Medicago truncatula: one gene and its partners. The main gene of each other region encodes a partner of the protein of the gene in region 4 in a complex. Links are inferred from orthologs where the notes say so. Each region holds a gene or a part of one and is shown on either strand. Other genes may lie near its edges. The genes, in order: VIN3-like protein 1, polycomb group protein FIE1, chromatin assembly factor 1 subunit FAS1 and WD-40 repeat-containing protein MSI1.

Region 1 (7,275 bases), on a different chromosome or scaffold from region 4:
ACTAGACTTTCATTACCAGAAATAAATTTCAGTTTTGATAACTAACAAGACAACATGGACAACAGAATCATGGTTGAAGAAGTCGTTTAAACAAGGATTAAATTCAACAATCACTCCAATCTCTTTGTATTAATAACAATATCAAATTCTAAACCACACAATTGGGGAAGTTTATATCATATATGTTACATAATTATATTCTATGCATAACAGAAATATACATTAATTAATGCATTAATATTTCATAATTGCGTATGAAAAAAACAGAACATCACATATAGATCAAAATTTATTTTGCTGCGTTTTAAGGGACAAAATAAATAGATGTTTATATTGTGAATATGTACAAGAAAGACCCAAAAAACATATCCTATTAAAATAGTAACACAGATTGGTTTTGTAGACAATCATCATAGCCTCACCTAATGTATTACTGAAAATTTGGATAAATTTTATGCCACATAATTCATCGTTATTTTTTTCCTTAATAATATGCCACACTGTTCACAAAGTACAACACTTCCGCATAACAAAAGAAAAACAGTATACTTTAACTTAGCATGATTTCTTTGTGGACTTTCATTCCTCTAAAGTCCAAAATTATTGATTTTAGTCACCATAAAATGAGCAACTTTTGGCTTTGATTCCTGTAAAATATTTTTATTGGTTTTTCATCACTTTAAAATAACAAATCGCTATTTTTGGTCTCTAACATTCACTTTAGGTTGAGCCAAAAAAAATCTCCGGGCTCAAGATAAAATCTTAGGGAGTCATATATGCTAACAAGGCACCACCGACACGATTAGGTGCCACCTGGAGAGGCCACTTGATCTTGTGTTGGACACATAAGTAGTTAAATGACGCCGCAAGACGATAGAGACAAAAAATAGTGATTTAAGATTTTAAAAACATATTTAACCCAAATATGAATAACAACGACTTTCCAAGGTGATGCCACAATAAGAGTAGAATAGAACAATACTAGTTTGTAACTATATCGGTTCAGCATTTAATAAAACCATATATTAAAATCGATAATTGACTCTAAGATAGCGAAAAACCAGATTTGATCCCAAACCAAATATACTTACAAGGCATATCAACGTATAACTCCATTTTAGGATCATAATTATAATACGTTGCATAATATGAGACAAACAAAATTCACATTTTGAATAACAAAAAGGAAACAAATATCATCAAACACTCAAGTAAAAGTTAAAAGGAAACAAACCACAAGACTAAAAAGTGAAATAATGATATAAAGGGTAAAAAAGCCTTGCAAAAGAAGCAATATATAACAATTCATTGGATTGAAACTATACATAAAATTAGTTTTAATAAGCAAAAGAAAGTAAAACACATTAAATAACAGCTTCCGCAAACAAATCACACGTTAAGTATCTTTTCCGAATCCTCTCCAAAAAAATAAAATGTATCTTTTCCGAAGTCAAATTTCAGACAGCGTTTTAAATCATGTTCATTTTTTTTTAAGTAGATTAACATGACACGATTAACATGGCACAAATGAAAAAAACAAAAATAAGAACAAAGGAGTGTGTTGGTGATATGCATAAACATCATTTGTGAAAGAAAGTCTGAAAAAAAGATAAAATTGTGTGAAGTCTGAAAGAAAATTGAAAAAACAGCATTAACCAAAACAGCAGCATAACCACTAGATGGCTTTGTTCAGTTCAAGAACAATCTATTATCAAACACTTCAAAAATTTATCATGGATTGTTCAGTTCTGTTTGCATTTCAATATTAATCACGGGAGGAAGCAACCACGATTCTTACACACCAATCTCACAATGTAACTCATCAATAAAGTACAATAAGAGAGAAAGACAGATATGCATAATCACAATGCAAACTAGCAACTATAGCGTTAATTGATTGATGAATAATCCCTTAATTAAGCCCTTACGGCAGATTTTCATATATTTAGAGACTAAAATGACAGATTTGATATACTTAAGGGCAACCATCAGGACTCTTAAAAGAGTAATCAACCGATCAAATACCCTTAAAAGTGTTATTCTCTTGGGGCCAGTCTCGAACCGAGTACCACAAGGTTGTAAAACAAACTTACAACCAAGTGACCTCACCCGAATCCGACAACAAACGGGCTCTAAATTGAGGATTTATTATCAATTGATTGATTGATGGATATATATTAATTAATATTAAATTAAAAATAATCAATTAAAAACAAAATATAAATCAGTCTCCAACACAATTGTATTATTTTGCACATTTGATTTAAACACACAATGTCTGATGAAAAATAGACTCAAATAGTCAATTACAGTTATGAAAAATAAAACAAACCTATTATTATCATTATAACAATAACTATTTACTCAAAACAGATGAAGAAAAAAAAACGTATAATAATAACACCACAATTTAGAGCCATGAATGAAAAACTGAACATAAAAACAAAACAAGAATAAAAGATCACACATCACAACTTAACCACTCATTCAATAAGCATTGCACATATCAACAAAAATAGGTCAAAAAAACATCAATTTTAATATTTAAAAAAAATCAAAATAAAGGGAAATTATTAAACAAATAAAAAGCACAAATTTTTACAAAAATCAGAACATGGGCAAGAGGAAAATCAGAACAAATCTATAAAGGGTAGACAAAAAAAGAAAAAAAAACATAAAACCTTAAAAACGTGAAAATTAAGGATAAAGGGATACGAATGAAAGAGTTACCTAAAGGAGAATGAGGATTTTAAGGTTATGAATCTGAAATCTTAAACAACACAAACACACAAGACAAATTTGGTGGTTTATGTTGTTGTTAGATTATGTTGTTGTTTCTGTGATTTTGAGAGAGAAAGAGAAAAAGGGTTGTGTTTATTGGTAGTGTTTATAGGTGAATGAAGTGACACGCGCTTAAGATGGCGCGTGAGGGAGTTGTGGTAGTTTTTTTCTTCTTCCTAGGCTCTTGTTGTTTGGCTGCATGGTATTGGTTAGTCAGCTGTGTGAAGTTTTCAGCTTATGTTACTTCTTTTCATGTTTTTCAGGTTTTTGTTGATGTTACTTTTGTGGACATTATTGCCCCTATTCTTTGAAAATTATTTAAGTTGTTTTAAGGTTTAGTTATGTTTTTAGAATAGGTTTTAAATTAGATGTAGCATATGTTTTGTTTGGTTTGGATTTTTGAGGTTTTAAACACGAGTTTAGTTGTGTTATTGTTGTGATTTCTTGGTAGCTATAAAACGAAGGTTTTATGTGGACGATGAAGTCTTTTATAAACAGAAGTATATAGTTCTCTTTGTTTTTATGTTGTTTATGTGAGAAGGTGATTTGATTGATGCTAGTTTCTGACCAAAAAAACAAAAGAAAAAAAATATGAGTATGTGTGATATAGGTTAATCTAGACATAGCGCATCTTTAAACTCACGTTTGTTAGACCATCCACAATGGTGGGTGCTTCATCTATTTAGCATCATATTAAATAGGCACCCCCATTGTGGAGTATAATATATGGGTGGCTATGGAGAACGGTGGCTATGGAAGCACCCTCTCTTTCTTCATTTTTCATGGGTCACATTTAATAAATCTTAATAAAATAAATAATTTTTGTTGAAATGTAATGATATAAAATTATTTGTAGGACTTATTTAATAATTTCTTTTGAGGTGTTGGGTTGGAGAAAATTGGTGTTTATTAAGTATTACCGTAAAATAAGTGATGTGGACATATGAAATTAATTTAACCACTCAGTTTAAGGTGATATATTGTGGATGGTCTTAGTAACTATAAAATGAAGGTTTTATGGAGACGGTGAAGTCTCTTTGAAATAGAAGTTTATATTACTTTTTGTTTTTATGTTGTTCATGTGAGGCGGTGATTTGATTGAATGGCAGTTTTGACCCAAAATAAGTAAAAAAAAATAAATGAGTATGTTTGGTCCAACTTAAATTGGATGTAGCATATGTTTGATTTGGTGTTTAAGTCTCGAAACTCACGTTCAGTTGTGCTGTTGTCGTGATTTCATAGTAGTTACAAATAAGCTTCTACGTAGACGGTGAAGTCTCTTTGAAATAGAAGTTTGTAGTTCTCATTGTCTTAATGTTGCTTATGTGAGACGGAGATTTTTTTTGCGGTGGTCGGAGTTTGAACCTTTGCATATATTATATGTTGTCCATATGAACTGAATTAAGCTCACGAGGACTGAGACGGGGATTTGATGTAACACCCTAAACCCCACTTATTATTTTCTAATAAAAATACAGTAATTAATTAAACATGCAAAGGTGTTTATGAAAAAATCATTGATAGAGATTAGGGTTGACCCTTGGTCCAATCCTTGTTATAAAAAAAAATCATTCAATCCTTTGATCCTATGAAAAAAAAATCATTCAATCCTTGTTATGAACAAAATCATTCAATCCTATTAAAAAAATCATTCAATCCTTCTAATAAAAATACAATAATTAATTAAACATGTAAAAAGATAAAGGATTAGGGTTGATTTTGATCCAATCCTTGTTATGAAAAAATCATTGATAGGGATTAGGGTTGACCCTTGGTCCAATCCTTGTTATGAAAAAAATCATTGATAATGCTTCCAGAAGACAAATATTAAACCCCCAAAGTAATTTAGACTCAACAATAGTTTTGCCTCCAAAAAGTTGTCTAAGAGACTTAATAACTTTTATAAATAAAATACGTGATCATTTTCTAAAAAAATAGAGAAACAACAAAAAAATTGAAAGGAAATGTGCAACAACTTTTTTTGCTCCAAAAAGTTGTCTAAGATACTTAAGAACTTTTATTTTTTTGAAGACATAAAAATGGAATATATTAACACTGGCGGTGAGTGCTCCTCAGTACAAGGTGTACCGAACAGACTACCCCAAATAACAATATGTCATACAAGTTATATACAAGAAAAACAGGTTAGTCGATACTCAAACAAGTCAAGGGGTCCGACCACCATCTTTGCACACCATAAACAAACTTGGCATTATTAGCCTTTACCCACCATAATGAATGGAATTTTACTTTATCTAGAAGCTGTAATATAGGAGTTTCAACGTTTTTAAATACTTTGTTGTTGCGTTCACTCCATATTAGCCAAACACCAAGAAGCTACAATAATTGAAGAAAAGCACAGCGGGCCTTAGATGATCCTGTATAATGAATAAATTGGAGAAAATGGTCAGTGATGGTAAGCGGTTCTACTCCCGCCACTCCAACCAGGCCCTAATTTGCTGCCACAACGACCGAACACTTCACAATGAATAAACAAGTGAGCTGATGTCTCCTCAAGCCCACACCCTGTAGCACACGAAGTCCCCGCCTCTTGCACTATGCCGCGCCTAAGGAGATTGTTCCTGGTTGGGAGCATGTCCTTTAGCAAACGTCAAGCAACAATGGACACCTTTAGGGGAACCTGCTTATGCCAAATGAGGTCTCTCCACACGTCAACAGTGGAAGATACCGAAGTTGTCAGAATCTGATAAGCACCTTTGACAATATATCCTTCATGAATGTTTGGATCCCACTGCCACCTGTCAAGAATATTAGCCTGCACAAATACACCATCAAGTAGTACCCTAAACTCCTCTAACATTTCTTCCTCACACGTCCACAATCTCCTCCTCCAACTCCATGCCTCTCCCCCTTCCCCCCATCCGCGATCACAAATATTCGCCACAGTAACAAATTTATTAGTCGCTAAATCAAACAATCGACTAAACCTTCTACACAAGGGGACATCTCCTAACCAGTTATCAAACCAAAAGAACGTATTGTTTCCATCACCTAACACCCTAGATACCCTTTCGCCAAACCAACCACCATTTGTGCCCTCAATCCCATCCCTAATCTTCACTACCTCCCTCCACCAAGAAGAAGCACTCCGGCCCCCAACCTCCAACCTCCCAGCCACCTCACTATATCTCGCCACCAACACCCTATACCAAAACCCACCTCTATCCACCAACAACTGCCAACACCATTTATCCAACAAGGCTAAATTAAACTCTCTAAACTGCCTCACCCCCAGCCCTTCATACTCCTTACCTAAACAAATAGAGCTCCAAGCAATCCAGGAAATTTTCCTGTTATCCTCACTCCCTCTTTAAAAAAAATTCTTAAATAAAGTTTCAATGGAAGAGATTATATCTGTCGGAGCTTTGAAGAAAGAAAGAGTGTAGACAGGAAGCGAGGTCAGGACAGACTTAAGAAGAATCAAGCGGCCCCCAAAAGATAGAAAGCGACTCTGCCACTTTGACAGTCTAGATTTAATAGTAGACATCATAGGTTCCCAAAAGGCTAACCTTCGAGGATCACCATCAATTGAGAGACCAAGATACAAAAATGGAATATTACCCACCTTACAATTTAAAATAGATGCTGTTTCAGTCAACCACGAGTTCCCAATATTAATTCCTACCAGTAGACTCTTATGAAAATTCACTTTTACACCGGACATATCTGCAAATAAGTTCAACACCGCCCTTAACACTCGAACATTGGCCCAACTCTTAGTACCCATAAGTAGGGTTGGGAATAGGTCAGGCCGGCCTACAGGGGCCTACGGCCTGGCCTGTTTTGGCCTGGCATGGCCTGGACTGTTTAGTAGATAGGCCTAGGCTTAGACTTTTTAGAAAGCCTGTTTAGTTAAATAGGCCAAGCTTAGGCTTCAAAAAAAGACTGTTAAGCCTAATAGGCCGGCCTATTAATACTTATTTATTAAAAAATATTTTTTTATATTAAAATAATTGCATATATTAAAAATATAAACATCTTTTTCTCTATCTAGTTGAAATTTACTTGTAGTGAAATAGGCTTTTAAGTAGGCTTTAAGACATGTTTAACCTATTTAGTAGGCCAAATGAACTATTTGATGGCCTTAATATGAAGTAGGTCTGTAAGTAGGCTTTCAGGCCAGTCCAGGCTTTTAAATAGGTCAGGCCAGGCCTAGAAAAACGGCCTATGATAGGCCATAGGCCAGGCTCAGGCTTGTGATTTATTTCGTAGGCCAGGCTCAGGCCTATCAAAGCATGGCCTGGCCTGGCCTATTCCCACCCCTACCCATAAGTAACGTATCATCAGCAAACTACAGATGTGACACCACCACAGAGTTAGATAAATAAGATAAGATATGCGATCATTTTCTAAAAAAATAGAGAAACAAAAAAAAAAAAAAAAAAAGGAACGAAATGTGCAACAATTTTTTTGGCTCCAAAAAGTTGTCTAAGAAACTTAAAGAACTTTTATAAATACGTGATCATTTTTAAA
Region 2 (7,618 bases), on a different chromosome or scaffold from region 4:
TACCTAAGAATGTTTATGCATCACCGCTCTATGCAAACTTCTTAACAACCCATTAGTTCCCTTTCTCTTTCTTTTCTTCTTTATGATTTTTCCATTCAATTCACCAACTGGTCCCACACAATGTATCACTTTCTCCCAGCATCAACCTTCCACGTACCCATCAATTTAATCTCAACCATCCACGTCTCCTTCACAAAAATCCACTTTACTGGTCCTTCAAATTCCACCTGTTACCCGATTACACAACTCATTCAAAATCAACGGCTTAGATTCATTCTCCCTTACATCTCACAATCACCATCTTTAAATTTCCATCTTCCCCACTACCGCCGTTTTTACCAACATTTCACAAAAAACATCATTTCATTTTTTTTGCATGCAAAAAACGACCATGAAGAACATGAAACGACACTCATCGGAATCTTCTCTCCGACGAGTGGATTCTCCTGTTGGAGCCGTTACGAAGCTAGAGAATGTTCACCGGAGAAGGTTGAAAATTCGGAGAATGAAGTATAGTTGTCAAGCAAAGATCCACGTCGGAAATGGCTCCGATGACGGTGATCTGAAAACGGAGAATGCGCGACGAGAGATTCATGAATCTGTTGAGATATCGTTGTCGTTAGCAACTTCATCATCATCTGAGGAAGATGATCAGCTGTCCAAGCAAAACGGAGAGGTACACTGTTGTTGTTGTTAGCTTATTATACACGGAAAATCCTTGAGGACAGTGCGTCTCATATTATTTCATTGTTTATTATTTGCAGGTGAAGCATTATCAACAACAACAGCGACCTCTATCGTATGGTTCGGTGTCAACCATAGGCTGTAGGAAGGAAATGGAGGATGCGGTGAGTATGGAGATAGGTTTTACGATGAAGGATGGAGAGAAGTGTGATTTCTTCGGTGTTTATGATGGTCACGGTGGTGCTCAGGTGGCGGTGTCGTGTAGAGAGAGGTTGTATAGGATTGTGGCGGAGGAGGTTGAGATGTTTTGGGAGGATAGGGAATGGGATTGGGAGAGGGTGATGGAAGGGTGTTTTGGTAAAATGGATAGGGAGGTGGCGGGTGATGCCACGGTTAGGACCGTGGGATCCACGGCTGTTGTGGCGGTTGTTGTTAAAGAGGAGATTGTTGTTGCGAATTGTGGTGATTCTAGAGCCGTTTTGGGACGAGGTGGTGAAGTCGTGGAGTTGTCTTCTGATCATAAGGTACTGTAGTACTATATTTGATTTTCTTAATATATTTGATAGTACTAATTTCTAGGCAGTATACAACTAGATAGATAATTGGATGCTCTCATCATGTGCTTGATTTCTGACTGATGTGTATGAAAAACATATATAGTCACACCGAGATTGCAGCAAATTGCAATATCTATACATTGTTGCATCTAGATTCTAGAGTCAATTATTTGGATTTTGATTATTATTGAGATTTGAGATCTTGTACTATATTTAGATTTAGATGATTTAAAGTAGATAAATTTTTTCATTCCAAAGAAAACTATTGTATGATAATGAATGAAGGTAATATTGATTTCCTTGTTTGTACACAGCCAAACAGGCCTGATGAGTTGATGAGAATAGAAGAAGCTGGTGGAAGAGTCATAAACTGGAATGGCCACCGTGTTCTTGGTGTTCTTGCAACTTCACGATCTATAGGTTTGTATGAAATTTTAACTTCACAAATACTTAGATTTCTAGCTTATGATAATGTTGGTTAATCCATTTTTTTTTAGATTATTTATATTTTCTACTTTGTTATATGCATGTATTTTCTTTGATCAGCCATTTTTAAAATAGCAGAGTAACTTTGACAAAAAAAAAAGTAAAGTTTGATCATATGCGTGATTGCTTTTAAATTTTTAACCAATCAAGATGACACATTGCTTAAATTCTCTGATAAAGAAGAATCTATAATAGAATGTGATTCTTTTTTATACAAAACAAGTTTGCCACATGTTTTGCGTATATGATTTTCAATCTTAATACTATTGGGAAAGTGTCTCATTATTTAAATCTTTGAAGATTATTGGACGGAAATAAATTATTACATATGAATCTTGACCTGTTCTTAATACTTGTGTGTATGGTCAAACACGTGGAAATTTTCAATAATACAAGAATATTTGTTGTATAAACACGTTGATTTCAAAGAGGTTAAGGAATCCTTCTACTATCAAATTACATGGAAAACTGTAAATCCCACATAATCAATTAATCAAAGTTTGGGTGTAAATTAGTTGAGCAGTAGTTGAGCTATATATTGTAAACTTATTACAGAATGTTCTAACTTTTAGGTTATGAGGCAAAAAAAAGAAGTTCAAAATCCATCAATAAATTGAGCTTGATATTTTTACTTACTTTTGGAAAATTGTGTTTGTAGACCTATATCCTTTAACACCCATGAGAGAGATAGAAATAGAGTATGCGTTGTGATTAAATGTGATAAGTATGTGATGTGATAAGAAGTGAGACGGAGAAAAAATGAGGTGTTGAATAAGTGTTGAAAAATTAAAAGTGTTTAAATATAATGGTTGTTAAGAAATATGCATGTCAAGCTTTAGTTTTAAGCTTAGTTTTATTGTAGTCAACCTAAACATTTATTAATTTTTAACAAGTCATGAAGCACGAGTTTTTAGCTAAGCTCGATTAAATCATTTATAAATAACTGATAAAATCGATTACATATATATTTTGTCAAATAGAATTAGTAAACTAATGATTATTGTTAAGAACCAATTTGATATGTTCTAACTACGAAATTTGATGCATGCAGGAGATCAATATCTTCGACCATATGTAATATCAAAACCTGAAGTCACCGTGACAAAACGAACCAATGAAGATGAATTTCTCATACTAGCAAGTGATGGCTTGTGGGGTGTAATGTCTAGTGAAATTGCATGCCAAGTTGTAAGAAAATGTTTCAAAGGCCAAATTAGGAGAGTTTGTCATGGGAATGAGAATCAAAGTAATCGTGCTGCTGAAGCTGCAACACTATTATCTGAGATAGCATTGGCAAAGGGTAGCAGAGACAATACAAGTGTCATAGTTGTTGACCTAAGAGGAACATTAAAATCTAGTTGACAATTGATGACTTTATTAGTTTTAAATCAAGGGGGTGCACCCTCTGTGCCAAGATATTATCAAGTACATAGTAATGATAATTAATTAGTGTGAGAAATACAATCTCTAACACGCTTTTTTATCCGTCAAAAAAAAAACACGCTCTTTTAAGATATGTTCAATGTTATCGATTAATTGAAATTTAAGTGAGTTTGATCTCGCTCGAAGTAAATTTCATTATATTAGAAACAATGACAAACATATGAGTTGGTGGTTATTGAATATTATCGTGTATGTTTGAAAGAGTGTTTTTTTTTTTTTTTTAAAGTATATCGTGACATTTTTTCAAGATTATTGATATGAGAATTGTGTGAGAATTAAAATTGAATGATAGTATATAGTGGTATCTAATTTTGAAAAAGTGGTCTAAGGATCAATCTTTTGCAAAGTTAACAGTTTAGATCTTCATATTTCATGACTGGAATAAACTTGTTGTGAGCATTTTTCTTTTAATTACTATACATCACACCTTGCAAATGTTTTACCTCTCTTGTTGCTACAAAAATGAAATTAGAACTTCATTAGCTATTAGCTAAGGTTAATTCAAAATCAAAATAGAAATTTTATAAGGGTTTCAAATCATTGGATTCACCTTTAAATATATGTACATAAACATCTCCTCCATCCATTCACATAAGAACTCAATCCCTTCAACCTAACATCTCGCATAAATTTCTTAAACGAGACCTACTAATCAACTATCAATAACTTTATATTATTACATATAAATTTTTTAATATTAAAAAGGTGTGGGTCCCACTTAAGAAAGAGGGTCTTAAGTGTGACCCGGGTTTTATAAGACCTCGAAAAGTTCCTCCCCAATGGAGTATCTAATAGGCACTCACTAGATCATAAAAGGTTAAGACCCTCCCATTGGAGATGGTCTTAGAGGGAAGTTTCGGGCAACCACAAGAAAACACAAATGATATCTGAGACAATATGTCACATGAGATTATAATAGTAGCAAAAAATACGCCGGGAGAATCAATAGCTTTTGGATCCAAGGTTAAAAAACCTTGATGGTGGAGAAAAATATTCAAAGTAAAGTTAAAATAAAAAGAGAATGTCATAAAGATTGATCTAGGTGTAAAAATATCAAAACTTGGAAAAATTATAAGAGTTAAGAAAAAAGACAAAAAAAAAAAACGATAAGCGAAGCAAAAACCTAAGCTTTTGAAGGGTTATACCAATCCTTATGCACCAAGGAGGGAGAAAAAAAATTACCAAACAATTTAACTTTAATTTTAAAGCTCTAAATTTGACTTTATAGCACTAAAACAAAAAAAAAAATTAAACATAAATAATTTAGTAAAACGCAAGTGATTTTAGCAAAATAAGAAACACTTCTATTAAAGAAGTGAAAGTTGAAGATAATTGACATGAAAGTTTCACTTAAAACGTAAATTATTGAATTTAAATCGAGATAATTGAATTCAAATCCAAAACTCACATGTTTTTATATGACATGAAAGTACCACTTAAATTGAAGAAGGGAAAATCATATTGAATTACCATAGAAGAACAATTTATCACTTACATAAGAAAATTTGAGACCATATGAAACCCTAATAACTAATTTGGTCTCACTCAGTCCTCAACTGTCATCCCTCACCAGCTCACCCACTCTTTCTCGCCGGCCACCGTAAGCTTCTCACTTTTCCAGGCTTTCATTTTCATGTTTCACTTTCAGAGTTGTTTTTTTTCTTCTCACTTACGATATTGTATTGTATTGTATTGTAAAGTTTCCATTTTTGTAACAATCTCATTGTTTCCTTATTCATATATTCTGAAATGAATATTTATATTTTCATTTTCTTCTCTTAAATTATGGTTACTATTTCGAAATTGTTCATCATTTGCACATTTCATTTGAGATTTCGTTTTTCTTGTCACTGAATTTATGAGAGAGTATTTTCATTTTCTCAGCTTTGGTTGCACGCTAAGTGTTTGATCAAATGCCAATTTGGTGGAAAAACTTTTTTTTTCTTGTAAGTTAGATGCTAAAAGACATGGGTTGTGTTTGGTTAAAACACTTAATTTGAATTTGCAGCTTCTTATAGCATAAGCATTTATCATATAAGTGCTTATGAATAAACTATCTGCCTGTTTTGATTGGCTTATTTTAGCTTATATACTAGCATAATGTTTGTGAGACTGTTTGAGTGAACTTATGAAAAAACCTTATGTTTATAAACTCCAACATAGTTTGCGCAAAATAGTTTAACATTATTTTAACTTTTGTTATAGAAATAGCTTATACATGAGTGTTTATTATGATAAGCACTTATGCTATAAGATGACAATTAAGTTGTTTATCAAACAAGGCTTATTTCTGTTACACAAAATAAATAAAGTCAAATTGTTTTTTGTATAAGATATAAGCTTTTTTATTCAGCTATATTGGAGATTTTATGGAAATAAGCTTAAAATAGCTTACGAGCATGTCATAAGCTCTCCCAAACAGTCTCACAAATGCCTATGCTAGTAGATAAGCTCAAATAAGCAAATTCAAATAAGCCCTTATTAAGTGTTTGCTTCGGCAGTCATTTCAGTTTCACCGCGTGTTTTGGCAAGATGCTACAATTAATGGCTATAGTTTCACTGCATGTTTAGAAGAGGCTACTTTGATTTCAAACAACCACTTAGAGTCAGTTTCTTTCAATAAACCTTTCTAAAAGCACTTATGTAAGAAGGAATATTAAGAGAATCTTATGATAATCATGAGTTCATCAATGCCTTATGTGGAAGAGGTCTAATATCCAATCAGTTCTGAGAATATAATAGGAATGGAAGCTGGAAGTGATTTTTTCCCTTTGAATCCCGATAGTGAAAAAGATTTCTAAAACCTATTTGGGAAACCTTGATATGTTTTGAATGAGTAGGAAGATCATTGTGCAATGGATTCAAAAGGACTTTGTTTACTATTAATTTGCTCCTTACATTGTCTTATTTTCCATGTATCATTTGGAATTGGATTTGAATTTGTTGTTAAATTGTTATTGAACTTGGTCAATGCCAACTGTCATTTTGGATTAGGTATTAGTGGTTTTTTTTATTATATTTTTTTCTCCTTGCATATTTTCTACTTTTTGATATTTGTTTTACATTATCTAGACTAGATGAGATTGGCGTGTTCGCTCCGTAAATCAGTGACTTGGCCAAATAATTACTGCGAGTAAAATGTTAGATACAATGTCCGTAAGGCCTTGCAGTTGTGTGTGTGAGTTTTATGTGGTATTTGCCACTTCGTTTACGGACCAAAAATAAATGTTAGATACAACTGTCCATACTGGCTAGCTCATGACCTATCACGTTTTGCCACTAGCATGACTCCCCCAATCTAGTCCTTTGAGTGATATGGCTTTTTTGACTCTATCTGAAATTTCAAAGATTAAATGGGTTAGGGATTGGCCCAATCAATGATGGGCCGTCCCCCGTTGAACCGACATTAAAATATACATATATCTTTCTCTCCCGCCGTTGCTAAACTCATTGGGAGCTTTTGTGTACTCTTCTCCATTGGCATTGGTCTCGTTTCATATATATTCTCCAATCTAGATCTAATTCCTTGATTTCTTCTCCCGTTTTAGGTGATTGTCATTCTCTTGTTGAATCTGTTTTTCACGGAGTGGTAAGGTTTTTCCCTTTTCACGGTATTTTTCGTTTTTTATTGTTTGAATGTGTATATCTGATTTTTGCACATGCTTCCTTAATTGGATCTATTGTATCATTATTTTCGATCTGTTTCTTTCCGTGCTACCCCTAATTTTCATATGCTTTGCTGTATTTCTACTTTTTTATGTACTTGACGGAGTAACTTGAGGAATTTGAAAGATGCAATGCAATATATTTCTTGATTGACATTTTTGACTGGGAGATTGTTTAACTAATAACTTCATGCAGAAATTTAATGGGATTATAATATCTCATTTGTTTTCTTTTGTATTGTCAAGTCAAGTAGTTTACTTGTTATTATCATGTTCTCATGGCTAGCAATTCAGCTGGTAGCTTTTTATTTGGCTGTCAACTACTACAGTTTCTGAGATTTTAGATTCTTGAGATTTTCATATCTGCAGATTACTTATTTTACCGCGTGTATTCTTCTCAGGTCCAGTACTTAATGCTCCTTAATCCAAAGCAAATATAAAAACGCTGAATAGCTGCTTCTTGTCCATGTTGTTTGTGCAGTTTCTGCATATATTTGTTATGCAAAATGATATCCACCGATAATTTGTTATGCAAAATGATATCCACCGATAATAAGTGGAAAATAGGCAAAAAAATACGAGTACATTATTTTATGTCATGTCAATGAACATGTTAGCGGACATTTTTATTTCCCAATGAAGTTTATCTAAAATTAAGCGTAGCAGAGATGAGGATGTTGTGTTGGATGAGTGATAAGACTAGACAGGATATGATTAGAAATGACACCATTAGAGAGAGAGTTGGGGTAGCACCTATAGTAGAAAAGATGGTAAAAAATAGGC
Region 3 (7,676 bases), on a different chromosome or scaffold from region 4:
ACAACTTTGAACTTGTTTCCTAGAACAATGAGGCAGTCGGAGAAAAGGAAAATTGTCAACTCTCAAAATGAATTATTTTCATTAGATGAATGAAGAAGCAAAAATTAAGAATGAATATATCAACTAGGCTCTAATAATTACTATCTAATGCAATGGATTATCATAATGTTGTCCGCAAGTTAATTTCCAATCCTACCTCAACGTCGTGCAAATACTTTTGGCTTTTTGGTTTCGATATTAATCCCACCATCCCAAATTATAAGTCATTTTACCATTTCACACAAATTAAGGAATGTAGTTAATATTGTATAGAAAAGAGAAATTATGAGGTAGTACCTTACAAAATTACACTTCATTTATGGTATGGAAAAGATAAATAAAAATTGTAAAAAAGAGTAATAAATATTAAAGGGTATAATAGGAAAAGAATCATTGATGTTTCATTTTGATATTGTAAAATGACTTAAATTTGGGACAAACTTTTTTCCAAAACTGACTAATAATTTGGACAGAGGTAGTACCTTCGAACAAATGTAATGGAAATTTGGAATTTTCAAGTTAAAGTATGTAGAAAACGCAATTTCACTACAAGTGAAAGCATCACCGAGTAAGAAGTAATTGGAGCTATAAACAATATAAACAGAATCAAAACAACACTTACAATGGCAATTGTTTCTGTTTGCAGTTCACGCTGTAGGCTTTCTTTTTCTTTCTCTTTCTCTTTTTCTTTCTCAGCTTCTCTTCTATTTCTATCCAACTGTTTAATTAGCAATTTTTCTTCTTGGTTTGCTTTTTTCTTATCCCTGCAATTATAATTTAGAAAAAATCAAATGAACAATTCATACATTTGCAAGGTAATTGAACACGTCAGGATAGCAACATTATGTTACATACATGTCTTCATTGTTTTTCTGCAACAAGCCTTCAACTATCACACGAATGTCAGCCTCAGTAGAAGTTTTACTCAGCTTTTTAGAGGCCTTGATTAAGTTTTGACTATAATTAGGCTCGCTTTCTTGTTTCTTCAGTGACGCAATCATTTCTGCAAGGCAATGAAATTTCAAAAAAAATAAAATACACAGTAAACAAAAACGCTGTCGTTTTGCCAAAACTTTCACAAAACAATTACATGCTTTAAAAAAGGGAAAACATGACAAAACATCGTCATAAATGTCATGTACGCCGATTATTTGCATATTCCGCTATCAACAACGTATTCCTTTTCCAATACAAAGACGGTTGTCAACTTCCTGCAGAAGAACATTTTCACTAGGTTTGGAACCCCTCGAAGAAAACATGTCACGATTTACTTAAACGTGACACGATTTTAGGCGAATTTCACTATCCTACGGCTAGGAGAGCAAAGTGTTGTCCCGTGAGTATAGCTCAGTTGGTAGGACAATGCATTATTATATGCAGGGGCCGGTGTTCGAACCCCAGACACCCCACTTATTCACCTTATAAGGTGAATTCTAGCCACTAGTCTACCGGACCAAAAAAAGAAAAAAAGAAATGTCGCAATAGCCACTATTTGACAATACTTTGTTTAAAAGCATAACCCAGAACAATTGTGATTTGTTCGTATGCATGTTGTTAAATGCAGCTATAGAGCTATGGCATAGCAGAATTTAAACAAAACCGATATTGTTCTGCGATACGCTAATTGGTACTAAATATTGTGAAATAGACACTATAGCTGCGCTATAGCAGTATTGCATGGCGAAATCTGAACAAACGGCTATTTTCAGAGATTTTCAATGCATAACATTATTCATATCCCACTATGCAAGTGATATATCACCGTTTGAGTTTGTTAAACTTGGAATTCTGAACAAACGGCTATTTTCTGAGATTTTCAATGCATAACATTATTCAAATCCCACTATGCAAGTGATATAGCACCGTTTGAGTTTGTATTTGACAACACTGATAAATCAAAGGAACCAATCAACTAACAACATTCAAAGCACCATAGTCAGCCAAAGCAATGTAATCCATACCAGATACAGCCATGATCCTGTCGTGGATCTTTTTCCGACAAGTGCGTCGAATAACAAGCTCTCCTCGAACAGATTTCGGCAACAATTTAACCTCCCTAGTCTACAATGACAACATAGCAAATCCATCAGCAGCAAGCAAACAGTGTAACCAATACACATTCAACTTCAACACAGACCCAATTATTATCAACATCCAAAAAACATTGATTTACACAGATTTAAGATAACCCGGTTAAATCAAACAACAAATAAACTATAGTTAGAAGAAATATCATCAAAATTCAAAACAAAAATCAAGAAAAAAAATCAAAATTACCTCCCAACACCAAAGACATGAATCAGAATGATCTTCCAAAATATCAGCATCAGCATTGGGAACTCCGTACATCATCCTTTGCCCAACAAACAACACACTACTTTTCACCAAAGCAGAATTAACCCCTTCCGCCAACACAATACCCGCATTCGCCACTTCACAATTCACCTTCTCATAAATCTCATCAACAAGCTTAGACAACGGAAGCTCACTCTCCTCCATCAAAGCCGCAACCACAACGTTTCTCGAACCCCCACATTGCTTAAGGTCAATCACAACTTTCTGAGCCAAAACCCCTCTGTAATAAGCAAACAACCCTTCAAGCTCTTTCTCTAGGGTTTCGATTTGTGCTTGTTTCTCTTCGGGAGTCCGCGAATTAACTTCCTTTTTTCGCTTTCGAGGGTTGGATTTGGGGCGATTTGGTGTTGGATCTTGAGGTGGTGGCAGTGGTGGGGGTGGAGGAGTGGTATGGACGGTGGTGTCGATTTGCATGGTTGTGTAATTTGAGATCTGAAAATGAAAAAGAAAAACCCTAATCGGTGGTGGAATAAGGGAAATGAAAATGAAAATGGGGAAATGTTGAATGAATGATATAAACAAACAATAAAGTGAACTGAAATTTTTTGGTGTTTGGCGCCCAATGCCTTTTCTTGCCTCCACTTTCAATCCAAATGTTCAACTTCTTACGTTGACACCTTTCAATTCTTTCATTAATAACAATAAATTTAGATAATAACCTTAATATGTTCTAATCAATATCATCAATCTTCTCCTAAAAAAACCAGTATCAGATATTTTTGCAATTTATATTCTAGTTATTGTTTTTAAAAACAAAAATGGATAACAAGAGAGTCGAAACTCGAATAAGAAACAAAACTACCGTTTGATAAGACTCGCGAAGTTGATATAAAATTTACGCGCGAAGCGGTAATCTATTTTAAATAAAATTATGCGCGAAGTTGAAATTTGAACAATATCAATTAAAAATAAATATTTTATTTGAGTAGGATATTAATGATGTAAAATCAAAGAAAAATCTTTGTCGCACGTCATATTTGCGAACGCAAATGACCAACTAATTATGCAAATAGACCAATAATAAATGGTTTCAATACTCTAAAAAGAGCGGATTAGGAATTGAACCGATGTGATTTTCGGGTCATGGTTCAATCAGTTGGACTACTGTATAACTGATTGAACAATTCTTTTTTAAAAGAAACTGGTTGAACAGGATTATATACAAATAAAAATAACTAATCAAATAATAAATTCATGCTAATTTTGTAAGTAATTCATTTAAATTCATAACTAGTGGAGGAAAAATGCATAAATCTATGTCAAATACACATAAATAAATAAAAACCAGAATTTTTATAAAATAAAAAACATGATGCATTTCAAGGAGTTTTAATTTACAAAGTCGTGGAGGTTAAAAAAAAGGATGGTGGACTTTGACATTTATGGACTCTTGAAATTTATGGTCGAATCTAGCATAACCTCACAAACCAATTTGTTAGGCGAGGATTGTCCCCACTTATAAATATGTTGTCATATCATCTCCTACCCGATGCAAGACTCTTTAACACACCCCCTCACACTCCAAACTTAGATGTCTAGAGCGTGAATATAAATGGTGGGTGTCCCAATAGCGGAAAACCTGATGGCGTGTGGCCTAATAGATTTTAGAGGATGCTCTGATACAGTCTTATAATTTTGTGCTTAGGACTAACATGCCCCCACATACCGATTTGTGAGGTAAGAATTGTATAACTTATAAACATATTATCATACCATCTTTCTGATGTGAGACTCTTCAACATGGACCATAAAAAGTTAGGCTTTGGAACAAATTTATTTATGCAAATTACTCTCTAGGAACATTCAATTGCTCACAAAACACCTTAAACTTTTGAAAATACATCTATCGGGAGTTATGTCCCGCTTGCTTGAAATCATGGGTTACAAACTAATCTCAAAATAAAAAATTAGAAATTGGTCTCAAGATCAGAAGTTATGATGCGGTAGCTGAAACCAAAATGCATAATTATGTGTAATTTATTCAAAGTTCAACCAACTTTAACACACTTAAACTTTCAACCACACTAAACATTCAATATACCATAAAATTATTTTGATCAACATTCAAAATGGCACAAAACCACGCGTGATTCATGCAAAAGTGAAAATATTCAATATACGTTCAAAATGCCATAGGGGCATAACTATTGATGTATTAAAATGCATATAATTTCATCGAAATGCCCTCCTCTACTATGCAGCTTAATATTGAGTGGCCAACTTTGCATCACTGACAATACGATGGAGAGTATCGTGTAGACTATAGTATGGGGTGCCATTTTCCTTCCCATCTAAGCAAATGGTCCTTAACCTCGTGATCAACTGTGACGTATCCAAAATATCCCTGGCATGCTCCTTTTATATCAGAACCTCAACATTTGATGACCTAGGTGGATCTTCCTCCACCAGAGCCACTAGTCTCAAATGAGATATATAGAGTCAGGAAATGTAACTCAATATGTGCTACCATCGCGTCTCCAAAAATATACCTCACGTGTCCTCAAGTATACATGCACCCAAAAAATATTGGAATGTTTGGTCTATCTGAAAGACATTTGACTCTAGTAGGGAGAAAGGATGTCTCATAATGGTCTCAATACATTCATGTTGCCACCTCACACGCTCTGACAAGTGATAATAAATCATTTTGCCGTCACAATTTATCTAATCAATGTACTAACATGACGATGTTCGTCGCAGGAGCAGAAGATCATGAAGCTGACCTGCAGGCAATCAAAGAATGTCATGTAGTTGTCTAGTGACTCATGGCCCATGCCATGAATGAACCACGTTGTGTGCGGCCTATCAATGGTATAGTTGGGGTCGATATCGATATCATACGCACGCACGCGCACATGTATCAGCATAGTTCTCCATATTCCAGACTTGAAAAAACTGACATAACATAAACACATATAACAAACACAAACACATATACAATTAAATATTACAAAACAAATAAAACTTCATGCTAAAATAATGTAAAGGATGTGAAAATGCCACTTTTTTTTAGGCCAAATACCTCTCAAGTCCTTTAAGTTTCATGTTTATGTCAGATAGATCCTTTAAGTTTCTAAGGTTTCATATAGGTCCTTTAAGTTTCGAGTTTGTTTCGGATAAGTCCTTTAAGCTTCTAAGGTTTCAGATAAGTCCTTTAAGTTTCGATTTTGTTTCAGATAGGTCCTTTCTATCAAATCAACTTTGGCTTAACGGAGGTTGATATAAATGATCTATCTGAAACAAACTCGAAACTTAAAGGACCTATTCGAAACAAACTTAAAACTTAAAGGACATATCTGAAACCTTGGAAACTTAAAGGATCTATCTGACACACACATGAAACTTAAAGGACCTGAGAGGTATTTGAACTTTTTTTTTACGAGGACTAAAAGTAAAATTTGATATATAGCCTCGTGGGTTTGTTTCATACACTGTTCAAATCAAATAGCAGTAAGATGTGTTATCATATGAGAACAAATGTTATATAGTAGGCTTATTTTTATATAATGGAAATGAACTAATTTACATGGAGAATGATTCATAGAAGAAACCAACTACATGATGCATGAATGATCTGTGTCTTCTAGCTAACTTAGATTTTTTTTTTCCAAGTATATTCTAGTTCTGAATTTTGAAAGTTGATGACTTCCCAAACATAATTGTCATTGTTAAAACTTTTTCTGCACTTTTTTATATGCTAGTTTTTTGAGGTTAGGTCTTCAAAACAGCTTCTTTTCGAATTTTGCCTTGTTGGTCTTCAAATTTTCAAACACTTATCCTAATTCGGACTAATAGTTCGGTTTGGATGCGGTCTTTCGAGAACTTACTCGAAATGCTTGTTCAAATTTTGTATTTAGCAAGTTAATATTATCTGTGTGAAAACTACAAGCAAGTAATGTACTTTAGATGATCTGATTTGTTAAAAACTATAAGCAAGTAATGTTTTAATTTATAAAAGGTATAACTTAAAAAAACACATTATTTTAAAGTTTTTTTTTCTCTATCTAATATGATAAATGTCTTTGTAAGGGTTGTCTTGGCAACCAACCAAGTTCTATATGTTCACATCACATATACAACCTTAATGTTTCACGATATCTTACAAAGTGGCTCATGGAATTTTGATTTGCTTCACATTCATGTTTTCCATCGTCTCAAAGCTTTTGCATTAGCAATTTCCTCATAATACCACACATAGACAGTATAATATAATTGTTTATGGTGCTGCTTCTTAAAGTATTTACTCAGCAAGTGGTGAGTACTCTTGGCTTTTGATTCATAATCGCCATTCTTAGCTTGCTAATGTTACTTGGAATTGGTTGTGAAAATTGATAATTTTAGAGAAGGACTTGTACTTTTTGTGATTAACTGCTCATTCAAACAAATTTAGGGTTTTTAGACATATCATCGCAAATTCTTCAAGTCATTTGTGTGGCTGTCTTCACGAATCTCTTTCACATACTCTTAGAAATGACCTTAAAATTTGTAGTTTCAAATAACTATTGGTTCACTCATATTTATAGTTTTGCGTCATCAAAGTTTCAAACATCAACTCCAATTTGCAAATGGTCTTTTAAATGTGGCATAGGAGGAATTTTTTTATTGTTATTGTGTGTTGGTCCCTTTTAGAAGATCCATATGTTTATAAATCTTATTATAGTCACTTATGACTCTAATATTAATCGCTTTGGTCCAACTACTTAGTCAAATACTCCAATACTTTATTTGCTGGGGGGTGATAGTTAATTTATATATGTTTCTTTAAGTGTTTTTCAACTATTGAAACATTCTTTTAAAAAAGAAACTAATGAAATATGTGAGTATTTTTATGTACAAATTTTTATTAAGTAAAAACACACTAAAAATTTATTTTAAATTTTACAAATGAATAAATTTTTAAATTATAAAATATCAATTTAATCCTTAAACTATCAGTTTTTCTCTAATTTAGTTCATAAAATATATAAATAATAAATATAATAAGTAGTTTTTAAAATATAAACTTCATCTATTTAATATTTACATTTTTTGGTGGTGGTCATGATTCGAACCCCGGACCTTGCATATAGGCATGGCAATGGGGCGGGGAGGGGACGGGTTTTACCTTCCCCATCTCCATACCCGATTCTCATATACTTACCCGTTACCCTACCCATATCCAACGGGGATGAGAAATTGAATCTCATCCCCGTCCCCGACGGGTTCGGGTATCCCCGCCCCATCACCGTCCCCGCATTGAATAATTTTTTATATTAAAAAATAGAAGTTTTTTAGCATCCCCA
Region 4 (7,720 bases):
TCAGGGAAACAAATAAAAAATTCACTAAAAAGTCCAGATATGGTGATGCTTTCATTAAGCAATACCTGCTAAGATCCCACACCATCAGTCTCCTACCAAGACAACAAGAAGCCAAGACAGTCTCATTCTTTGGATTCCAGCCAACCTGGAAAACCTCCTCCCTGTTAACCCGAAAACAACAATCCAGATTAATATCTATTAAATATAATTACATCTAGAGTAAATATAGAAACAACTAAGGAGAATGTTACTTATGGCAATCAAAGGTGTGAAGAACATTGCCGATCTTGCGCAGATCCCACAGTTTCACTGTTTTGTCAGTAGAACCAGTAGCAACTATCCATTCATTGAAGGGATTGAAAGCCAAGCAGTTAACCTAACAAGATCCAATGTCATTATTATATAAAGAAAAGTGTTATTAGAAGTGATATATATTGAGAGTAATATCAGCATTGTGAAAACTCTAGAACACTGCTAAAAGATAAAGTCGAATTAGAGCACAACGGAGAAGACATTATAAGAAGCCAACAGATTGAAAATCTGAGTAAAGACAGGAAATTATATCAGCAAGGAAAATATGAGAAGCCAGATATGTGAAATATGGCCACTGTACAACTGCAGAGTGGAGTCTCGGCCAGTTCTCAAATATTGACCGTGATTAAAAATTTATGCATTATCCGTGTTTAGTTTTCAATTATCACCCACCCCGAATGAAGTCTTTCAACACAACGTTGAACCTTTAGGTCTAATATCACTATGTTTTGATGGGTTGGGTCAAACATTCTCAAAAACTCATAAATTTCAAAAGATATAATGAAGATTGAACAGTAATAAATTGATAATTTTAGAATAATCACAAAATATAAGTCCATGTTTCAAATTCCCTCTTACAACAGCACATCATAATTCATATCTAAACAACAATAACCAATATTTTTCTATCCAACTTATTAATCTCAAGATTTTTCTTCAATAGTTTTTTATGCCTTTTATAGGCCTTCTTCTACCTCTAGTAATTCTCCTCCATCTGATCTATTGTCCTTACGATGGAATCCACATGTCTTCTTTCTACATGCCCAAACCACCTAAGCCTAGTTTCCACTATCTTTTGTACTATAGGTGCTTCCCCAGCTCTCTCTCAAATGTTGTCATTTCCAATCCTATCTTGTCTAGTGTACCACACATCCAACACAACATCCCTATCTCCGCCACGCTTAATTTATTTTCATATTGGTTCTTAGAGTCGTCCAATGAAATTTTCCCATCAACTTGAGCAGTACTTTCGCATCACATAAAATACTTGAGGCCCTATTCCATTTCAACCACCCAGCTTGAATGGTTTGTGTTTAACTTCCCTGTATCTGTCCACTTAACATGATATCCCCATGCCATGTTCATTTTGACGGATTCACCAATCCCTCACACTAATTTCCACAAAATAGTTGCTACTTCAAGCCACAAACAATTATCTAGATTAAATCTATTTTTACACAAATCAGAGAATATGCAACAAAAACTCACATCAAACAAATGCATATTCCCACAAAACCAAACCCTGAACTAATTATACTTCCTTGAAAACCCAAATGTAAAAGAGCTTATTATCCAAAACAAACTCCTAGGCCTTCCTACATTTGCATCACATAAAGCATTGGAGGCCCTGCTCCATTTCAACCACCCAGTTCGAATGGTGCATGTTATACTTCGCCGTATCTTTCCACCTAGCACGTTATCCCCAGGCCATGCTCATTTTGACAGATTCACCAATCCCTCGCACTAATTTCCACAAAATAGGTTGCTACTTTCAAGCCAAAAACAATTGTCCTAGATTAAATATATTTTAACACAAATCAAAGAATATGCAACAAAAATTCACAACAAACAAACGCATATTCTCACAAAACTAAACCCTAAACTAATTATACTTCCTTGAAAAAACCAAATGTAAAAGAGCTTATAATCAAAACAAACTCATATATTTAAATAGATTAAGCAACACACCTCGCTAGAATGAGCAATGCAAGACTGAACAGGCTTAGTAACAGACGGTGTCCTTAGATCCCATACAAGCAAATACTGATCATCCCCAACAGAACCAAACAAATACTCATGCCTCAAATGCCAAGCCACGTCTTCCACAACACCTTCATGAACCTAAACAAACAATAACACAAAATCATCAACAACAAACCAAGCAACAAAAAACAACAAAATTAAGTAGAAAACCCAATAAGAATACCTTAAAAATCTGATGAGCATCAAGAGACTTATTCTTAGGAGTACCATTAATATCCCACAAACAAATCTGAGCATCATCAGAACCACTAAGCAAATGTCCTTGTTTAAACTTACTCCAAGACAAACCATACCCTTCAGTATTATGACCTCTTAACCTCAAATCAGGGTTACAACTTCCATCAATTGGAGGCTTAGAAGGATGTTTACTATAATCAAAAACATAAACCTCAGCACTAACCGTCTTAGTAGCAATCACAAAACTATTCTGAGGCATATACCTCGCTCTATTAACCTCACCATCATGATTAATCTGTTGAATTATCTGAACCTTCCCATTGGCACAACCAAACCCTCCAACTTCAGGACGATCGTCATCGTAATGACGGGCGTCGTTTTCGGAGTCGTCGAGAGGGAGTTGAACTTGAGCGAGCATGAGATAATTGGGTTCATTTTCGGAAGTGTGGGTCCCGAGGATGAGTTTTTGGACGGAGTAGTCTTTGCCGGAGGGTTCAGTGCGATCTGGAAGCCATTCGACGGTGAGAGATGGCCATTCGAGAGCGTGAGTGATGACGAGATCGTAGAGGAAGGGACTGTTTTTCTTCCAGATTTTGTATTCTTCGTTGATTATTCGTTCTTCTATTTCGCCTCTCATTTCTTCGTCTTCTTTCCCCATCCACTTTCAAAACCCTAACTCTCAAATGTGATGTTGTTTTTTCGAGGGAGAAATATAAACACTCACTAACCCCTTCTCTATCCCACTACTTCCCTCACTTCTTCACTTACCCCTTTGCCGTATTTTTATTAATTAAATTGGATTATCATTTAATAAAAATAATAGAAAATTAAATTGAATTTGTATATATTTTTTTTGATGAAGAGGAAATTAAAAGACAAGAAAACCAAACTAGTCAATCCGCTGCCTAAATACCCCAGAGGTATCCGCAAGCATGATGATATCCAATTGAGATGGAGGAGAAGTCCACATCTTCAAGGAGTCAGTATTAGTTGCACCAAATTTAATCAACCAGTCAGCACATTCGTTCCCTTCTCTCAAAGTATGACTAAATGAGACCACCCATGAAAGAGAAGAATTGAATTTGTATATATTGATGCTTAGAAAAAAAAAATGGATACACAAATTTACAAATTTTTTGTGAATAAAAATTTAGGTGAGTTGATCTCTGGGGACTTACGAGAGTTAGGATAGGTCTTAAGGATTAATGAACATTATCATTCATCAGATATTTGGTTCTCACTCTAAAATTAAAAGTTCAACTCACGACCTTATGGAAAAATCAACTTCTTACGAGTCAACTTTTATTGACAAATTTTTTGTTACATGAAAAGAAAAAATTGTTTCAAATGTTTCTTAGTAAGTGGTAAAAGGTATTGAGTGACAATGATGTGACGTGACGTTCATTTAAAGATGTTAGGATAAATCTACATGAGCACGTACCCAAATAAAATTTATCTGAGCACACATTCACAATTGAAAATAATTAAATGAAAAAATAATTAATAAATGTGACCATATTATTGTTTCTTAATATTTTTATTTATGAATGTGTGCTTGAATAATTTTATTTGGGTTTGTGTCTAAGTAACACTTCCACGAAGATGTTATCCATACATTTAATTTAATGTCATTGTTATACCTTCTAATTTTATTTTCTGATAAACCAATCTAAACTTGTGTACCTCATTTGGTCACTATTATAAGTAGAAATTCATCTTTTAGATTGATTCAATATGCAATGTATGTGATCTATATAATAACATAAATCATTTATTAGATAAATTTAAAATGTGGATTTTTGCTAATAAAAATGAGGGTAAATACCTCTTTTCGTCCATGTAATATTAGTGAATTCCGATTTTAATCCCTGTAAAAAAAAGATTTAGATTTTGTCCCTGTAATTTCATATTCTTCCACTTTTGGTCCCTCATTCCACCACGTCAGCAGAATCTGCATACATGGCATGTAAAATGAGGGACCAAAAGTGGAGGAATATGAAATTACAGAGACCAAAAGTGGGAGGAATCTGAAATTACAGGGACGCAATTGATGCAGATTTTGTTGACGTGATGAAAGGAGGGACCAAAAGTGGAAGAATATGAAATTACAGGGACAAAATCTAAATCTTTTTATTTACAGGGACTAAAACCAGAATTCGCTAATATTACAGGGACGAAAAAAGGTATTTATCCTAATAATGACTAGAGCGTGTATGTGTATGCCTTACGACTTACACATTAAGAAACATGGTTTCCTATTTGTAAAATTCATCGACTAAGATCGTCCACAACGGTAGGTGCTTCGCTTATTTAACACAACATTAAATAGCCCCCATTGTAGTGTACACCCTGCAGACACTATTATTTAATTTTAAAAATTTGTACTTTAAGAACATTGACATGTTATGAGGAACATTGACATGCTACAAGGTTGGTTTTAATCACTCTTACTACATAGTCATGAATTGGTGATATGTTGGAACTTCACATTACCTTTTATATTTTCCTAACTATTCATTTACATGTATTTTTTAAAATACCAAATACACGCATTTCTCTACAAGGTTGGCCAACTAATGTTTTTATGATAATGTGAAGAGGAATCTTTTAAAGGATACCATATGTTGGTATTGTACTGTTTGATCTTAAAAGTTGGTACTTTCATAAAATTGGCATGCTATAAGGTTAGTTTTAATCACTCGTACTGCATAGTCATGTATTTGTGATATGTTGACATTTCACATTACCTTTTATATTTTTCAAACAATTCCTATATTTTTATTTTATAGAATACCATACACACAACTTTCTCCTTTAAAAGATTTTCTATGAAAGATTTAAAATGTGCCGTCCTTTCAAAGCGAACAAGAGATATGTGAATATTTTTATAAATATTAGTTGAATTTCAGCTTGTGTGAATATCTTTGTTATTACATGTTATGTTATGTATGGTTTTGGATATGTTGATCACATGTGAGGAAACAATGTTTGGTAGTTACTATTGTTTCGAAAAATGTAACTAAGAATTAATATTGTTTGATTGAATTCAAGGACCAATCACAAATATAGTCACTAATTGAAGAATGACATATATATTTACCTTTATTTTTGGTGCAATAAGACAATCAAATTAGTATACAAACATGAATTGTTTGATCACCTTTCATATTTTATTTATCTATGATTTTACTCTATTTGAGATGTTTTTATTCGTCGTTTGCAGGTTGAACTCAAATATCTCTTTCATTTTTTATTTATATATGCTTATATCTAATAACTTCTCATCAAAAGGTATGAACTCAAATATCTCTTTCATTTTGTTTTTTGAATGGCAAATATCTTCTTTATTGTTGTTGATTTTTTATTCAATTAATTTAGTAATTATTTGAGTAAATAGACAATTACCTCTCTGAAATTGTAAGTTTCGTCAATTATCCTCTGACATTAACAAAACTTCAATTACCCCCCTGAAATTGCACAACGTTAATCAATTTACCCCTTCCGTCAAATTCTTCTGTTAGTCAACTTGACGTTTTGCAAATACCCCCTGAAGTTTTGCACTTATGTGCAAAATGCCCTCGAACTTGAAAATTTATATTTTTTTTCTTATCCTTGACTCAAAAAAGATATTAAGGTGTGTAATGCCCCTGTTCTTTTTAATGTAAAATTTGACTTTTCTTTATACTTTTAGTTACTTAACTGATCGGTTAATAAGACACTTATGTTTGTTGTATTAAGATTATCAAGTTTTATTTACCTTTAAAAAAAACTTTTTTCCCAAACTTTTTCTTCAGGGGTCTTTTCCCATACTTGTGTAACAAACAAAAAAACTTTAAACTTAATATCTCAACAGGTTTTTACTTACCTTTTTTTAAAAGTTTTGTCTATCTTTTAAGATAAATGCTTGTGTACTTATTTAAGTATTTTATTTGTTTATGTTGTTCTGTAGGTTATGGAAAGACAGTAAGCGAATGTAAGTCACTAGAACAAACACTTCTTTCGGAAAGTTCAATGTGGTGAGAATAACAATCTCCCTCTACCCTTAAAGAAAAATAAAGCAAAAATATGCTTCCTCTACCCTTAAAGAAAAATAAAGCAAAAATATGCTTATATTAGGGTAACACACTCTATTTAAAATGTTGAGGAGCTATATCGCAGGATCAATCATTCAAGAAATTTCAAATTCGATTATCGAGCGAAATAACGCTTAGTCACATTATACATACCTCATGGTCGAACCCCCAAGGAAACACACTATTGAATCTGAACAATTATTATGGTACTGAAACTGAAAATGTTGAAAACAGTAACCAATTAATCGGACTCGAGTGGTTAATGAGCTATACAGTAGGATCAATTGTTCAAGAAAATTCAAATTCGTTTCTCGAGTGAAATCATTCTTAGTTAGATTATACATATTTTATGGCCGAACTCACCACATTTCCATTGAAACTAGAACACATTGACGTTCATAATAATACCATAATATTGTAACTCAGAAACAGAGTGTGACTATGGAGGTATGTGAGTAATGACAAATATTTTTAATAGAGGAATACCTAGAACTTGGGAAGTTGACTCTAATGTAGTTGGTCTTGCAAAAAAAGACATATGCTCAATCACAGTAACATCTGCAAAGACATAAACACGATGTCTTCCTTTAGCTACAACAATGTTGTGAGGGAAATTTGTTAAGATATTGGAATTCTTATAATATGATGTTCTAGTAGTTTTTGAAAATTGCTCATATATTTTTATACTCTTATCAATAATCAAAACATGTTTGAATAACGCTCTCTTGACATCGTGCCAATATGAAAGATATTTTGATGATATGTATATTTATTGACGAAAATATCCATATCACGAGGGACGATGCAAATTATTGGAACTCACTCAGGTACTATCTTGAGACTACTGAAATATTGACCAAGTTATCAAATTTAATAAGTCAAACACAAAAAAGTAATTCCTTAATGTTTTATATGAGTGGTCATGGCGTTGAAGTTGGCGAAAGATTCTTCGGACCTACTGATATTTTACTTGGTAAGTTCTATTCATATTGGTTATTAAAGAATATTAGTCTTAAAGGAATCCGAATATTATATCGCACTTGCTAACCATGACTAAGCTGATTTGACCCGCAAACTTTCATCTCCTCCTCCATCATCAATTTCCTTTTCTCCTCCATTATTCTATCATGTAGCGCTCCCTTACCGAATTGTCCTCCTCCACCGTAAAAAAGTGCCCACATAAACATTAAGAAAGAAAGAATAATTTTGTTGGAGCATAAAGATGATAAGGAAATTAAATCAACCATAATAAATAGAGAATAATCACTAGTTTCCCTTAACCTAAATCGTATATGCACCCACTTTTTATATATTTAAAGGTTAAATATGATTTTAGTCACTATAAATATACAGCTTAATCCATTAAATTATAAAATATATTCATTGTTGCCCTC

What was found.
Region 1: WD-40 repeat-containing protein MSI1 (region 4) and VIN3-like protein 1 share a complex: the UniProt entries of both Arabidopsis thaliana proteins name them as parts of the plant homeodomain / polycomb repressive complex. The link is inferred for Medicago truncatula from reciprocal best matches to the Arabidopsis thaliana genes MSI1 and VRN5.
Region 2: WD-40 repeat-containing protein MSI1 (region 4) and polycomb group protein FIE1 share a complex: the UniProt entries of both Arabidopsis thaliana proteins name them as parts of the plant homeodomain / polycomb repressive complex. The link is inferred for Medicago truncatula from reciprocal best matches to the Arabidopsis thaliana genes MSI1 and FIE.
Region 3: WD-40 repeat-containing protein MSI1 (region 4) and chromatin assembly factor 1 subunit FAS1 share a complex: the UniProt entries of both Arabidopsis thaliana proteins name them as parts of the chromatin assembly factor 1 (CAF-1) complex. The link is inferred for Medicago truncatula from reciprocal best matches to the Arabidopsis thaliana genes MSI1 and FAS1.

The regions. Positions count from the first base shown.
Region 1 is NC_053047.1:39,580,207-39,587,481, forward strand, and holds the start of VIN3-like protein 1, read right to left. Parts: upstream 3,021-7,275; 5' UTR 2,731-3,020; intron 1-2,730. UniProt on the Arabidopsis thaliana protein: Involved in both the vernalization and photoperiod pathways by regulating expression of the related floral repressors FLOWERING LOCUS C (FLC) and FLOWERING LOCUS M (FLM).
Region 2 is NC_053042.1:9,566,481-9,574,098, forward strand, and holds the start of polycomb group protein FIE1, read left to right. Parts: upstream 1-4,597; 5' UTR 4,598-4,770; intron 4,771-6,718; 5' UTR 6,719-6,759; intron 6,760-7,141; exon of another isoform or gene 7,142-7,236; intron 7,237-7,618. Other genes in the region: protein phosphatase 2C 51, read left to right, coding at 377-676, 765-1,208, 1,556-1,661, 2,779-3,089. UniProt on the Arabidopsis thaliana protein: Polycomb group (PcG) protein. PcG proteins act by forming multiprotein complexes, which are required to maintain the transcriptionally repressive state of homeotic genes throughout development.
Region 3 is NC_053048.1:37,406,600-37,414,275, forward strand, and holds the start of chromatin assembly factor 1 subunit FAS1, read right to left. Parts: upstream 3,004-7,676; 5' UTR 2,809-3,003; coding exon 2,317-2,808; intron 2,101-2,316; coding exon 2,001-2,100; intron 1,043-2,000; coding exon 895-1,042; intron 804-894; coding exon 662-803; intron 20-661; coding exon 1-19. UniProt on the Arabidopsis thaliana protein: Component of the chromatin assembly factor complex (CAF-1) involved in chromatin assembly following DNA replication and DNA repair. Assembles histone octamers onto replicating DNA in vitro.
Region 4 is NC_053045.1:46,472,570-46,480,289, forward strand, and holds the start of WD-40 repeat-containing protein MSI1, read right to left. Parts: upstream 3,006-7,720; 5' UTR 2,912-3,005; coding exon 2,240-2,911; intron 2,155-2,239; coding exon 2,002-2,154; intron 377-2,001; coding exon 252-376; intron 162-251; coding exon 66-161; intron 1-65. UniProt on the Arabidopsis thaliana protein: Core histone-binding subunit that may target chromatin assembly factors, chromatin remodeling factors and histone deacetylases to their histone substrates in a manner that is regulated by nucleosomal DNA.